Linked DNA regions of Daphnia pulex. The protein of the gene in region 1 interacts with the protein of each later gene in a pairwise test. Links are inferred from orthologs where the notes say so. Each region holds a gene or a part of one and is shown on either strand. Other genes may lie near its edges.

Region 1 (3,652 bases):
TTTCTTGGCCGTCCTTTCGATAAAGAGAGAGAGAGGATACACTTAATGGACGTAACACGATGCCAGGGCCGGCTTCTTCTTCTCCGCAAAAACTTTGTTTTTTCTATTTTTTAGCTGGGCAACAGCAGCAGCAGTGCAGTGCAGGAAGGAAAAGAAAAAAAAAAGATCGATCGATTGTTTGGGGAAAAAGATAAAAATATAAAATAATTTTGTTTTTATTATTTTCCGGCAACTGCGGAAACAACCAAATGTCTACGGCAGGTTTTTTTTTTTTCTTTTTTTTTGGCTGGATCAAGAGGGGCGTGATCGTGACCGGAACAAACACACACACACACACACAGAAAGACACTCAAAATTAATTAATTAGCAAAAAAAAATTAAAATAATGTGATGATAAAATAAAATTGGGTATTTTTAATAAGTCCGCTGGATTTTAAAATATTTTCGTCTTTTTTTGTGGTTGTCCCAACTACTCTCTAAAAATATTTTTTTTTTTGTTTCGTCTGTCCAGCAAAAAATCCAGCCATGCTGTCCGTCAATTTTTTTTGGTGTGTGTGGGAGCAGGTGGGGTGGTGTGTGTTTTTGGTGAAAGTATTTTTGATGAGTTTTGTTTTGTTGTGCGGGCCGTCATTGAGGAGAGCCTACTTTCTATACAGCGCGGGCAGGCCAGCAACAATTTTTTTTTAGGTTTTTTAATTTTTTTGTTTCGGGGGGAGCAGAGGTGGGCCAGCAATCACTCTCAACTTACTCTTCTTACTCGTTTCAATGCCCGGCGCTAGCCAATGCCTGAGATGGGCAGAGACGGGCGGAGAAAAGCGTAAATGATGATGTTGTTGTTGTTGCAGTAGAAGTGCAGTTGCAGAAGGCTGATGATATTGGGGTTGTTGTTGGATCATTTGGTGTTGCTGTTGGTGGTGGTGGTGGAGTAAAGGCGTCCGGTTGAGGCTGGCCGGCGTCGATTTGCGCCTGTGCCGGTTCTGGCCGCCGTAGTGCAGGACCATGTCATCGCTGGCAAACGTCACCGTTTTGCCCTTCTCCTGAGACACTGCTTTTGGCACACGGGACACACACAGACCAGGCTATCAACAACCCAGAACCAAAATGCCCAGCATTTGCCCAGCTGCCCAGCTAACCCATTTTTAAAACATTTCATCATCATCTTCTTCTTCTTCCTACAAAAAACGGACTTCAATCCCGGTAGATCCGATCCTCTTTTTGCTGCTCCACTACACGTTCCCATCCCTACCCTCCTACCCCCTTCCCACTCCTTTCCTCGCCCGGGCACTGGGAAAAATCAATTAGTCAACGACGGATGGGCGGAGCCACACAAGGTCCTCGACAATTCAACGGATTAGTGCGGCAGACAGAAAAAAAAAAGATTTTCTTCTTCTTCTTCTTCTGGGGGAGAGTTGATAATAAAAACCGGCCAGCAGCACAGGAGCCGGAAATGTTGAAATGAAAATAATCAGAAAAATAGGGGGGAGGAGGAGGGAAACTCACGACAGGAGTGCAGAAAGAAGAAGAAGATGATGATGTTAATAATTTGGATAAAGAAAGAGAAAAATAACAAAATAGACAAAAAAGATCCTGGCCGGCAATGAATATATCCTTTTGTGTGTTGTTAACATTAATAATAAAGTGGTGATAAATGTGTGTCGGGCGGAACTTACTGATTGTGGCGCGCGATTTTTCCAGCTCGGCCAGCACTCGGTTATCCTGCTCGATTTTGGCCATGATCCGCTCGATGTCGCTGTGGTGATGGCTACTGCTGCTGGACGATCCGCCACTGTTGATGCCCGTCAGTTTCGACATGGAAGACGTCGAAACCACCGGCTGCGAAAGGCTCTTGCCCAGGTTGTAATCTAACAATTGAACCCACCAATTCAATTAAATAGAAAAGATAAAAAATGGAAATAAAAATTTTACTCGAGACGGCCAAGTCCATTTCGAGGAGAGCGTCTAAATTGGAGGCACTCTGTCCCAGAGGGGTTGTCCGTGTCACCGATCCAGCACCATTGGCTAAATACCTCAGTGAATCTGTTGATATTAAATACAATTATTATTCAACCTGCTGGGCAAATAAATAAAATAAAAATTGTAATTTTTGGGTACCTGGGCTGGATCCCCTTGAATCTAAATCGAATGTGGCTCCTAGTGACTGACTGCTGCCGTGGTGGCTGCTTCCAGCTCCGCTGCTGTTGCTGTGGTGGTGGTGCTGGTTCCGTCTCAAGGCCGCCAGTTCCAGCAACAATTCATCGTGTCTCACGTTCTGCAATTCCATTTTCCTTTCCAGCTCGCGAATCCTCGACTGTTTGGAAATTTATAAAATGAGAATCGAGGGTGGTAGGTGCTGGGCAAGACAAAAACGGGCAAACCTGAAGCGACTCGATGTTCTGAGAATGTTGTGCCCGCTCCACTTCCGTGTTCTTGTTGCTGGCCAGCAATCCCAGCTGGGCCTGGGCCGTCCGCAACTCATTGACCGACTCTCCATGTTGTTTTTCCAATTCCTTTTTCTTCTCGGCCGCTTCTCTCATTTGCTGCCCGGCCACAAATATTAAAATAAAAATGTCAAAATTAATTTTAAAAAATTTTGCAAAAATAAAATCATCCAGAAAACTCACCCTGAGGACATGATCCAGGCCGGCCATCTTCTCCTTGAGCTGGGCAACTTCGCTCTGGGCCGCCTGGCACTGGCTTTCCACCGTGTTCAACGAGCTACGAAGCGTCTGGCATTCCGTTTCAAACTGTTTTTATCAAATCAATTGCAAATATAAACAAATTCATCGATTAAAAATTGTGGTGCTGGGCAATTTGAAAAAAAAAAACAAATATTTCAACCCACACATCGATCGACTCGTCAATTCCAGCTGCTTGAAATCAAAATTAATTTCAAGACAAAAGTTAAATCACCGGGTAAAAAAAAAGGGAATAATCGATACATATAGAAACGGACACACACACACACAGTAGTCGTACAGGGTGTTATTATATATTTACCTGGTGCAGCTCCTGGGCTTGTTTCTTCAGGTCACAATTCTCAATGGTCAATTCGGCGTTCTTGTCGATAACTTTGCTCAGCTGATTCTCCTGTCGACCGGACACACACACAGACACACACGAAACAGACAAAATATTTTAGGGTTTTAAGCCGGACTCTTGCCCAAGTTATTATTTTAAACTCTCTCTCTCTCTCTACTGGCTGGATGGACACACACGCAGTCTAAGCCGCTGATGTGTGTGACTGGACAGCCGAGTCCTTACCAAGTCTTGACTGTACTCTGTTTTGGCTTTAAGTCGCTCGGCCAGCACTTCTCGATCCTAGACGAATCAAATTTCATTTTTTAAAAATTTTTCTGATGGTCGAAATCAAATAAAATTTAATCAAAATTAACCTGTTGCCTTTTGCTGAGCTGCTGGGCCGCTTCGGCCTGTTCCTTGCACAAGAGTTCCAGCTGTTCCACCTGCCGCCGGAGCTGGACGTTGGTCGCCTCCAAGGCCGAGTAGCGGGTCACGTCAAGCTCGGCACTTCGCTGCAATCCCTGGACGGCCAGAAAAATCAAATAAAAATCAAATTCTATTGACTACTGTTGGCTCCTATATAGCCAATCCTTTTTTCCTCTCATTGCTCAATACTTTTGCCCGGCCACATGAC
Region 2 (3,652 bases), on another chromosome or scaffold:
CGCAGGGCGCCGTTTGGGCGCGGCGGAAGATCGAATCCGCCAACGATCGTGGCCGACAGTTGCTGGATCGATGCATCGTACCACAATTTCACCTGGACTTTGCCCCAAGACGGGTGGAGAGTGTCAGGCGAGGCGGGCGACGTGACGGTGACAGCCGGCCGGTCCCTCTGAGTGTTACTGCTGACTTTACTGCCGCCGCTGCGTGTGCTGCCGGCCCCGCCGCCGCCACCGACGCCCGCTAACGAGCCCGACGCCGAGCCGTAGCCGGAATGATGGTGACTTAGATGGCCACCACCGGGCCCGGCTGATCCGCCCGACTGTGCTCCCATTGAACTCGGCCGTCCGACATCGCTGATGGGCCGACTGACAATGATCTCCACTTCGTGGTCGGAACGTGACTCGCAGATGATGTCATAGACTTCCTCAAATGTCCGCCCTTGCAGCGGGTAGCCGTTCCACTCCAGCACCTCGTCACCTAAATACAAGCGCGGACAATAGAACACGTCATTGCATTGTTGCCCGTCGCTGGTGTCGCTGGTCTTCCTCAACACAACACTCGTTCACACTTGTCAAATTGAATGAATGAAAAGAAAAGAGAAAAGAGAAAAGGGAAAAAGAAAAAAGTTTTACCCGGCCGCAAGTGTCCGATGGTGTCGGCGACGCTGCCCCGTTTGACCTTCTCGACGATAGCGGCCAAGCGGCCGTTGTCGACTCGCTTGCCACCTACGACCTTGAGGCCGAGAATGGAGGCCGATGACGGATTGCTGGAGCCGCCGATGCCCGAAACGCCTGACGGACCACCACCTCCCCCGCCACCGCCTCCAAGGGAGCCGACTCCAATTCCGGCCATGTTTTTGGTCAATATCATCCGGCCAATCATTTTGGTACCGTCGCTGTTGGGCTGCCACGTGACTGGATGCTGCTGTTGAGGCGCCGGCGGATGCTGTTGCTTTTGCAGCTGATGCTGTTGTTGGTTGTTGGTTGTTGTTGTCACCGAGATCAAACACGAAAGACCAGACACAGTTCAATCATCGCAAGTCAGCCAAGGACAAAGAAAAACACAACAAATGTTCACATCCCATCATCATCAGAAATATAACCAAACAAAACAAAGAAGTGACAAAGAAACCGAAATGAACAAAAAAGTAGAAAAATTCAAGACGAGAGAGAATAAGAGAAAATGAAGCGGAATGAAAATGGAAGCCCCAGTCTAACCCAACTGCAAAGAAACAAACAAATTAAAAAGGAGCCAAAATCGGAAGAGAGAGAAGAGTAGAAAAAAAAAACAAAAAACAAAAAACAAAAAACAAAAGAGAAATGTGAAGATCACACGAGTGCTAATGCCAATGCGGATGGACGTCGGTTGCGTTGCAGCGCCATCCGTCATCGACGGATCATCGAACGTGGAATGCCACGGACGTACCCGAGGCGAGTTCGATCTAGACGGAGGCGATCAACCACCGAAAATGTGTGGATAGGGGGAATGATCCCAAAAAATCGTTGATGGAGAAATGGCACAAGAAGAAGAAGAAGAAGACGAAGGAATTGTTGGCCCCTCCCGCGCAGAAAATGGCAAGCGTGATCACTGAGCCAAGAATCCATGTGCCCACTATATCACGTTAGGTTGCATCAGCACGGTACAGAAGACACCCAAAATCTAATCTCCGGCCCATCAATTCAATACTGCTCGTTGTTGTTGTTGTAACTGTTGTTGTGCAAATTACTGTCGCCCCCCCCCCCAAAAAAAAGAAAAGAATTGCAGTTTTTAAATGAAAAAGAAAATTTTCCAACAGAAAAATCTCGAATCATTTTTTTGGGGGTGGGCGGAACTTGTCGACAACAGCAATCCAGCAAGGCCAGCAAAGTATATATCTGCCAACCGTGATGGAATAAATATCACATTGGGTTAAACGAAGAAACGATGCACAGACTGCTCAATAACGAGAGTCTTTGTATCGTGATATAGTGGCGCACATGTATAAAAAGATCTTCTTCTTCTTCTCGATTTCTTTCTCCTTCCTTTTTTTTGTGTGTCTGGCGTTTTTTGTTTCTGTAATTTTTTTTTTTTGGGTGGGGGGGTTTGTTTGTTTTATTGTTGTTGTTATCGAATGAGGTTTCGGGATAGGGATCTAAGTGTATAGACGGATCGGACGTGCATAGACATAGAGTAGAAGGCATTCCGTGTGCGGCGGACAAAACAAGACCCAATATAATAAAGCGTCGGACGGGTGGCGGGGGTTGGGATGGGATGGGGGGGTCTATATAAGAGAAAAGAGAGATGATGATGAAGCCAAAAATGGAAGGCCGCCGCCGCCGCTGCTGGGCCGGTCGAGCAGCAGCAGCAGCTCTTTCCTTCCTTCCTTTTCTTTTGGCTTTGCGTCTACAATGCACGACTCTACTAGGCAACAGCAGTATATAGTATACCCAAACATCTCCATGTTCTTGCGATGTGTGTGTGTGTCAATGTGTGTGGGATTGGATGATGCCCTCGATACGGGAGGCCAGGCTATACGTCTCTCTGTATCTATGTGTGTGTGTGCAAAGTGGAAGCAGCGGAGGAAGTTCTAGCTAGGAATCGGAAGCGAACAACACCGAAACAAAAAAGGAGCAACTGGAAAAGCCCAGGACGAGAGGGGAATAAGAAAAAGATGGTAATCATATAGCACAGCACATCATATCAATTGATGTCTATTGATATCGAAAGACAAGTCGCCAACACAGAGAAAAGAAGAAGAAGCTAAAAAAAAAAAGATGGAAGAATCTATGTATACATAAAGAATAAAAAAAAAGGCCAGGAGCCAGCAGGAGAAGCCGGCTCCTCCGTGTTGTATGTCTAGGAAATAAAGGCGAATATAAATATACAAGCAGTGATAGAATCAGAATAATAATAAGAAGAGCCCAAGTCTATATGACGCAAGCGTTGTCTAGATGTAGTACTGAATATACACACATCGACATGCAAGTCAATTCGTAGGCCAAACACCATCCATCAGCATTTGTTTCGCTCGGTTCTGGGTCTATGTATATAATATATAAATAGAGACGGACGGACGAACTCTTGTTTTGTTTTTCGTTTGTTGTTGTTTCCCCCCCGTCCCTTGTTTTTGTTGTTGCTGCTGATGCCTTTTTCTTGCTTCACTTGAGCTCGATGATTCCGTGCTGCTTCTCGGCCCCCTTTTTCCTACTCCCTGCTCAGATAAACGTATTCATCTAGACTATCTCTCTACTACCCTAGACTGTGTGCTGTGTTGAGCCCCCTCCCAGTAGTAGTAGCTCGACGATGGCTGCTCTGTTTGTTGTGTTTGACGTCGGTCGGTTGCCTCTTTCAGTACGGCGGATGGAAGGAGGAGGAGGAGGGTTTTGTGTGACGGGCGAGGTAAAAGTGGGGTTTGCTTGAAGCTGCTGGTTATATAGACCAGAAATCCCAAGTAAAAAGAGATTTGATGGCGTGCTCTTCTTCTTCTTTTTGCCTTTTTTCTTCTGAATTTCTACCCTTTTGCACAGATGTATCGTCTCGATATGCAAATGCCAAACATCCTCCCTCCTTCCATCCATCTATCCCCTCCCCTCGCCCTTCCTTTTGCCCCCCTCCTCATTCCAGAACACTCACGCTCGTCGATTCGAGAGAGCTAAATCTATAGAGCGTTGTCAG
Region 3 (4,091 bases), on another chromosome or scaffold:
CCCCGATGAAATTCAATACGGCTTCCAACAGAGTATCAGTAGCCAGCGAGTGCCCATATCAATTGGTCGCCACTCCAGTCAGGCGCTCAATGAGACCCAAAAAGGGGATGGTCACTTTAAACGAACAAGTTTTGTACGTCGGCCAACTGGATGAACTTTCGCCTGCCACCAGAAGCAAGGCCGTTGTGCGTAAAAACAACGCCTTAACCACTGATCTCTGAATCTAATTAATTGTGGAACCCAAAATTCAAAGCATAATCTTCCAGTTCTGTCCCATTTCCCATTGTGTTTCTTTTTCTTTCTTTTTTTTTCCATTGCATTTTCGTTTTGTTTTAAGAAAAAATTTGCATTCTCTTTCGAAGTAGATGTCCCTGAATTTGATTTCAGTATTATTCGCCCGTGGAAATGGTTTCAATAAATTTCGGTTATACCAGTTTTCTACCATTCGTCGTGACTGTATTGGTATTTAATTAATTCACGTTGAATGAGCAGCTTGTGAAATGAAGCACTCTAGAAAAGACGAGAAGAAATATGCGACTCCGTTTATCACAAGGAGAGATGTGAGAGTTTAGAGGAAGTATGGGGGAATGTAAATATAATAACGATTATCAAAAGTGCTGAGATGAATAAATTACTCCATGTAGAACTCGTGAATCGGGTAGGCCAACTCGATGAATTTACGACAGAACCGTTGAAACGCTCTCCTACAGCCAAATGATATCATTTTTACATTTTGAATAATAGAAAATTAATAATCGTTTCTATGTTTAATACCCGATAGCTTCTGCTACGTGACGAGTTGAGCCGTTACCCTGAAAGACATGACAGGCGAACCGCTCTTCAGTCGGATGTTTGGTGATGAAGCCGAGGTAGTGCTGCTCACTCGGATGAAACCCGCAGAACGTGACATTTTTCAAAGCGAAAAAGTAATCGTGACACGGGAATCGGTCCATCTGTCGTGTGTGTGTTTCCAACCGTGAATTAAAATTAATTGAAACGAAATAGAGAGAGAGAGCTAGACAATACTCTTACGTCATTTTCTTTGCACTTGTCCATGACGTGAAGTCCCTGGTCGGAGATTTCTAGAAAACAAGGCTGCGGGTGGGTGACGGGAGATTTGCGCATACGTTCAACGGCCGAACAGATCACCTGCTCCCCTTTGTTGACCATCGTTTCGACTGATCCCAAAAAATCCAGGGCGTAGCGCTCCTTGTTGACCCGCCGTCCGTCGGGATCGAAATCGTAATCGACGTCGACGACGTAAGCCGCTGGGAAGATTCCTCGACGCTGAGTTCGCAGGTTGATCCCGTCACACCAACAATCGTCGGCCTCCTGCTGGACGTAAACAGGATCTCCGATGTCGATGTCTATCTCGTCAGAGTGTCGGCCGGTGAATTTGTGCAGACCGCGGTGTGTAGCCTCGACGTCGGTCAGCACCGGGAGTGATTCGGCGCTCGGCGTCGAAGACGCAGTATCTGTTATTTTTAAAATTCAATTCGTTATCAATTTCAATAATTAATTATAGGGGGGAAAATAACCTTTTGAGCCTTCTGGCGAATGAGCCGTCGAGTCTCGTCCGGAATCGCCATCCGTCCCTGGCCAAACGTCAGATTCACAAGGACTGTGTTCTCCTGCTGTTTATTTTTAATAAAAGGAACTTTGGATGATTGTTTTGTTATTTGGACAATTGGAAATAATTATAGTACCTCGATAGTGAAGGTGAGGCTTGAAAAATTGGCGATGACGGTGTTCGGATACTAATGAAATGCACGACGACCCGATATCCAATTGCGATAGCTCATCGGCGAGTGATGGAGTCCGTTTGAAATCCAATTCTGTGTATAATTGATTAGATATTGATCCTTTTCTTTTTTTATTTCGATAAAACATGTTTTGATAGTATACTTTGATGAATTTTTGGGATTTCTGGTAGTTTTCTTCTTTTCCTTTCGAGTGGCTTGTGATTGATTTCCTTGACAGGATCGTTGGCAGCCCCATCTTCTGGATGAGGAGCTACTGGTACATTTTCTGTCGTCCCAACGGAAGTTTGGACAATTCCGGTGCTTCCCTCTTCAACGATCGTCGATTCCCGTTTGGCAAACGGAAACTCGGTGGCACACGATGAGAGTAAGCCCTCGAAATTCGGCAAATCGTCACAGGGCGTGATGTCGTGAACCAAACTGCATAAATATGCAAAACAAAACGATATGATAATATACTAAAACCCCACCCCGCTAGTCTAACATAATCAATGAAACAGCCAAGTCAAATGATGACAACGACTTACGTGTAGCACTTGGCTGACGCTCGTATGTGCTGAGGTAATCGATCGAAATGCAGACGAAACTCTTCAAACTCGGAATCGGCCATGATTTTCGGTTACAACCAAAAACAGCAGCTGAAGAACTGAATTCGGCAAATAATAATAATGAGCGGCCTGGATGCAGCCTGCAGCTGGGGGTGTGTATATTAACAACTACTACTCGTTACTACAGAATTCGGCTATTTACTGAGCAAAGTCTCGACCGAATAAGTTTCCGATGCGTATACATATACGGCCGACTTTGGGGTGCTGGATCGTGCCGGATCCTCTATACGTGCCAACGGGAGTATGTAGAAAGAGGTGTGGCTGCTGCCGAGTTAGTCCCCCGGATTGCGCATGCTCACGGGGTGGTTGGTGTTCCAGCAGGATGCCATAGCGTGAGCCAGAAAAGAAATGTGTCCCGAGACCATGGAGATATTGATTTTTTCCCAAATTTCTTTTTCAAGTCAATTTATGTTCCTCCTCCTGTGTGTTTTTGATAAAAACTCAACACGCACGACGCGGGTCGATTAATCTAAGGAATGGGCATCTAAGCAAAACACTCCGTCACTAACGTCGTCGCCGATTAGTATCTACGTTTTAATTCAATCAGCGTGTGGGCGTATAGGCCACTGCGCAGCGCCAAAGTGAGAAATACTTAAACGTTGGCACGACTTAACATCGTTTCCAGATGATAATCTTCGTCGGCTATATCACGCAATACACGAATATAATCTGAGCTTTTTTTTTGCGTGCGTGTAGGTGGAATGGCCAGAGTCCTATGTAATAACGGATGGGATTTCTTTTAACTGTCACCAAACCACACATCGTAGATCACGCGGCCAATTTTTCTTTTTTTCCTTCCAGCGGATACGTTCTGTCCGCCCATATCGTCGATATATCGGCGACCTTAATCAGATGATGGAATGCGCTGCTGCGCGGAGGAATTGTAAAAATATAAAATAAAGAAAACGCGGAATAGATAATACTGTACGTCAGCAGCACTGGGCTTTGGGACCCAGAAAGTTTTCAATCACTTCTCAGCGATTGGGAATATGTATAAAACGATCGGAATTGAAATAGATTCAACAAACGGCACCCAAATAAGTGTAATATTCTTTGATTTCTTTTAACCTTTTGTTATCTGGCGTTTGTTTATACAAGAGCGCCAATGCATTCGACCGGAAGGTTCATCCAGCACTCTGGCCGTTGGGGAGAATGAATAGATGTTGATACATTATAAACGATTCTGAGCGTCGGGACGCTGATTATGGAATCGTTTTTATTTTTTCTTTCTTCCCATCCACTTTCTCTCTCCCCCACCAGTAGGTCGACGCTGTGTCTATATAGGGCCTGGAGATAGATAAATCCATTCGATGCCCAGCAGCAGCAGCAGCCATCAAGGCGAAAAGCGCCAGATCGTCAAGAGCCACTCTAGAGAATTGCAATATCCATCTGATTACTGAACCAACTGACTGTTGAATAGTAATCAATTCGAGAGAAGCTTCTGGCAATTCTTTTTTCGGTATAACTACGTCGACAAATGTGCATATAAGATGACGCCGCTTGTTCAACCAACCTGGACTGCTATAGTAGTCAGTGATGTTCAAAAGACGACTATTGTTCACCTTTTTGAAAAAGAAATCTAAACTTTTTATTCAAGCTCGCAGATGACGTATAGTATCTCGTCATAACAATAGCGCGTAATGATCATTATTACTATACACAGCAGGTCTTTACGGTTTTTTGAAACCGTCACACAATTGGTTTCGTCAGACAATCGACAGGC

What was found.
Region 2: the proteins of uncharacterized protein LOC124203590 (region 1) and regulating synaptic membrane exocytosis protein 2-like interact in a two-hybrid assay, tested with the Drosophila melanogaster proteins (3 studies listed by BioGRID). The link is inferred for Daphnia pulex from reciprocal best matches to the Drosophila melanogaster genes Rbp and Rim.
Region 3: the proteins of uncharacterized protein LOC124203590 (region 1) and JNK-interacting protein 1-like interact in a two-hybrid assay, tested with the Drosophila melanogaster proteins (2 studies listed by BioGRID). The link is inferred for Daphnia pulex from reciprocal best matches to the Drosophila melanogaster genes Rbp and Aplip1.

Annotation. Positions count from the first base shown.
Region 1 is NC_060026.1:13,159,195-13,162,846, forward strand, and holds part of uncharacterized protein LOC124203590, read right to left. Parts: intron 3,540-3,652; coding exon 3,393-3,539; intron 3,319-3,392; coding exon 3,262-3,318; intron 3,088-3,261; coding exon 2,998-3,087; intron 2,745-2,997; coding exon 2,622-2,744; intron 2,538-2,621; coding exon 2,376-2,537; intron 2,309-2,375; coding exon 2,113-2,308; intron 2,038-2,112; coding exon 1,927-2,037; intron 1,863-1,926; coding exon 1,671-1,862; intron 1,049-1,670; coding exon 749-1,048; intron 1-748.
Region 2 is NC_060020.1:6,667,285-6,670,936, reverse strand, and holds part of regulating synaptic membrane exocytosis protein 2-like, read right to left. Parts: intron 965-3,652; coding exon 631-964; intron 476-630; coding exon 1-475.
Region 3 is NC_060024.1:10,403,258-10,407,348, forward strand, and holds JNK-interacting protein 1-like, read right to left. Parts: upstream 2,606-4,091; 5' UTR 2,371-2,605; coding exon 2,288-2,370; intron 2,181-2,287; coding exon 1,906-2,180; intron 1,836-1,905; coding exon 1,707-1,835; intron 1,635-1,706; coding exon 1,539-1,634; intron 1,476-1,538; coding exon 1,033-1,475; intron 954-1,032; coding exon 775-953; intron 705-774; coding exon 632-704; 3' UTR 527-631; downstream 1-526. Other genes in the region: uncharacterized protein LOC124200172, read left to right, coding at 1-221. UniProt on the Drosophila melanogaster protein: The JNK-interacting protein (JIP) group of scaffold proteins selectively mediates JNK signaling by aggregating specific components of the MAPK cascade to form a functional JNK signaling module.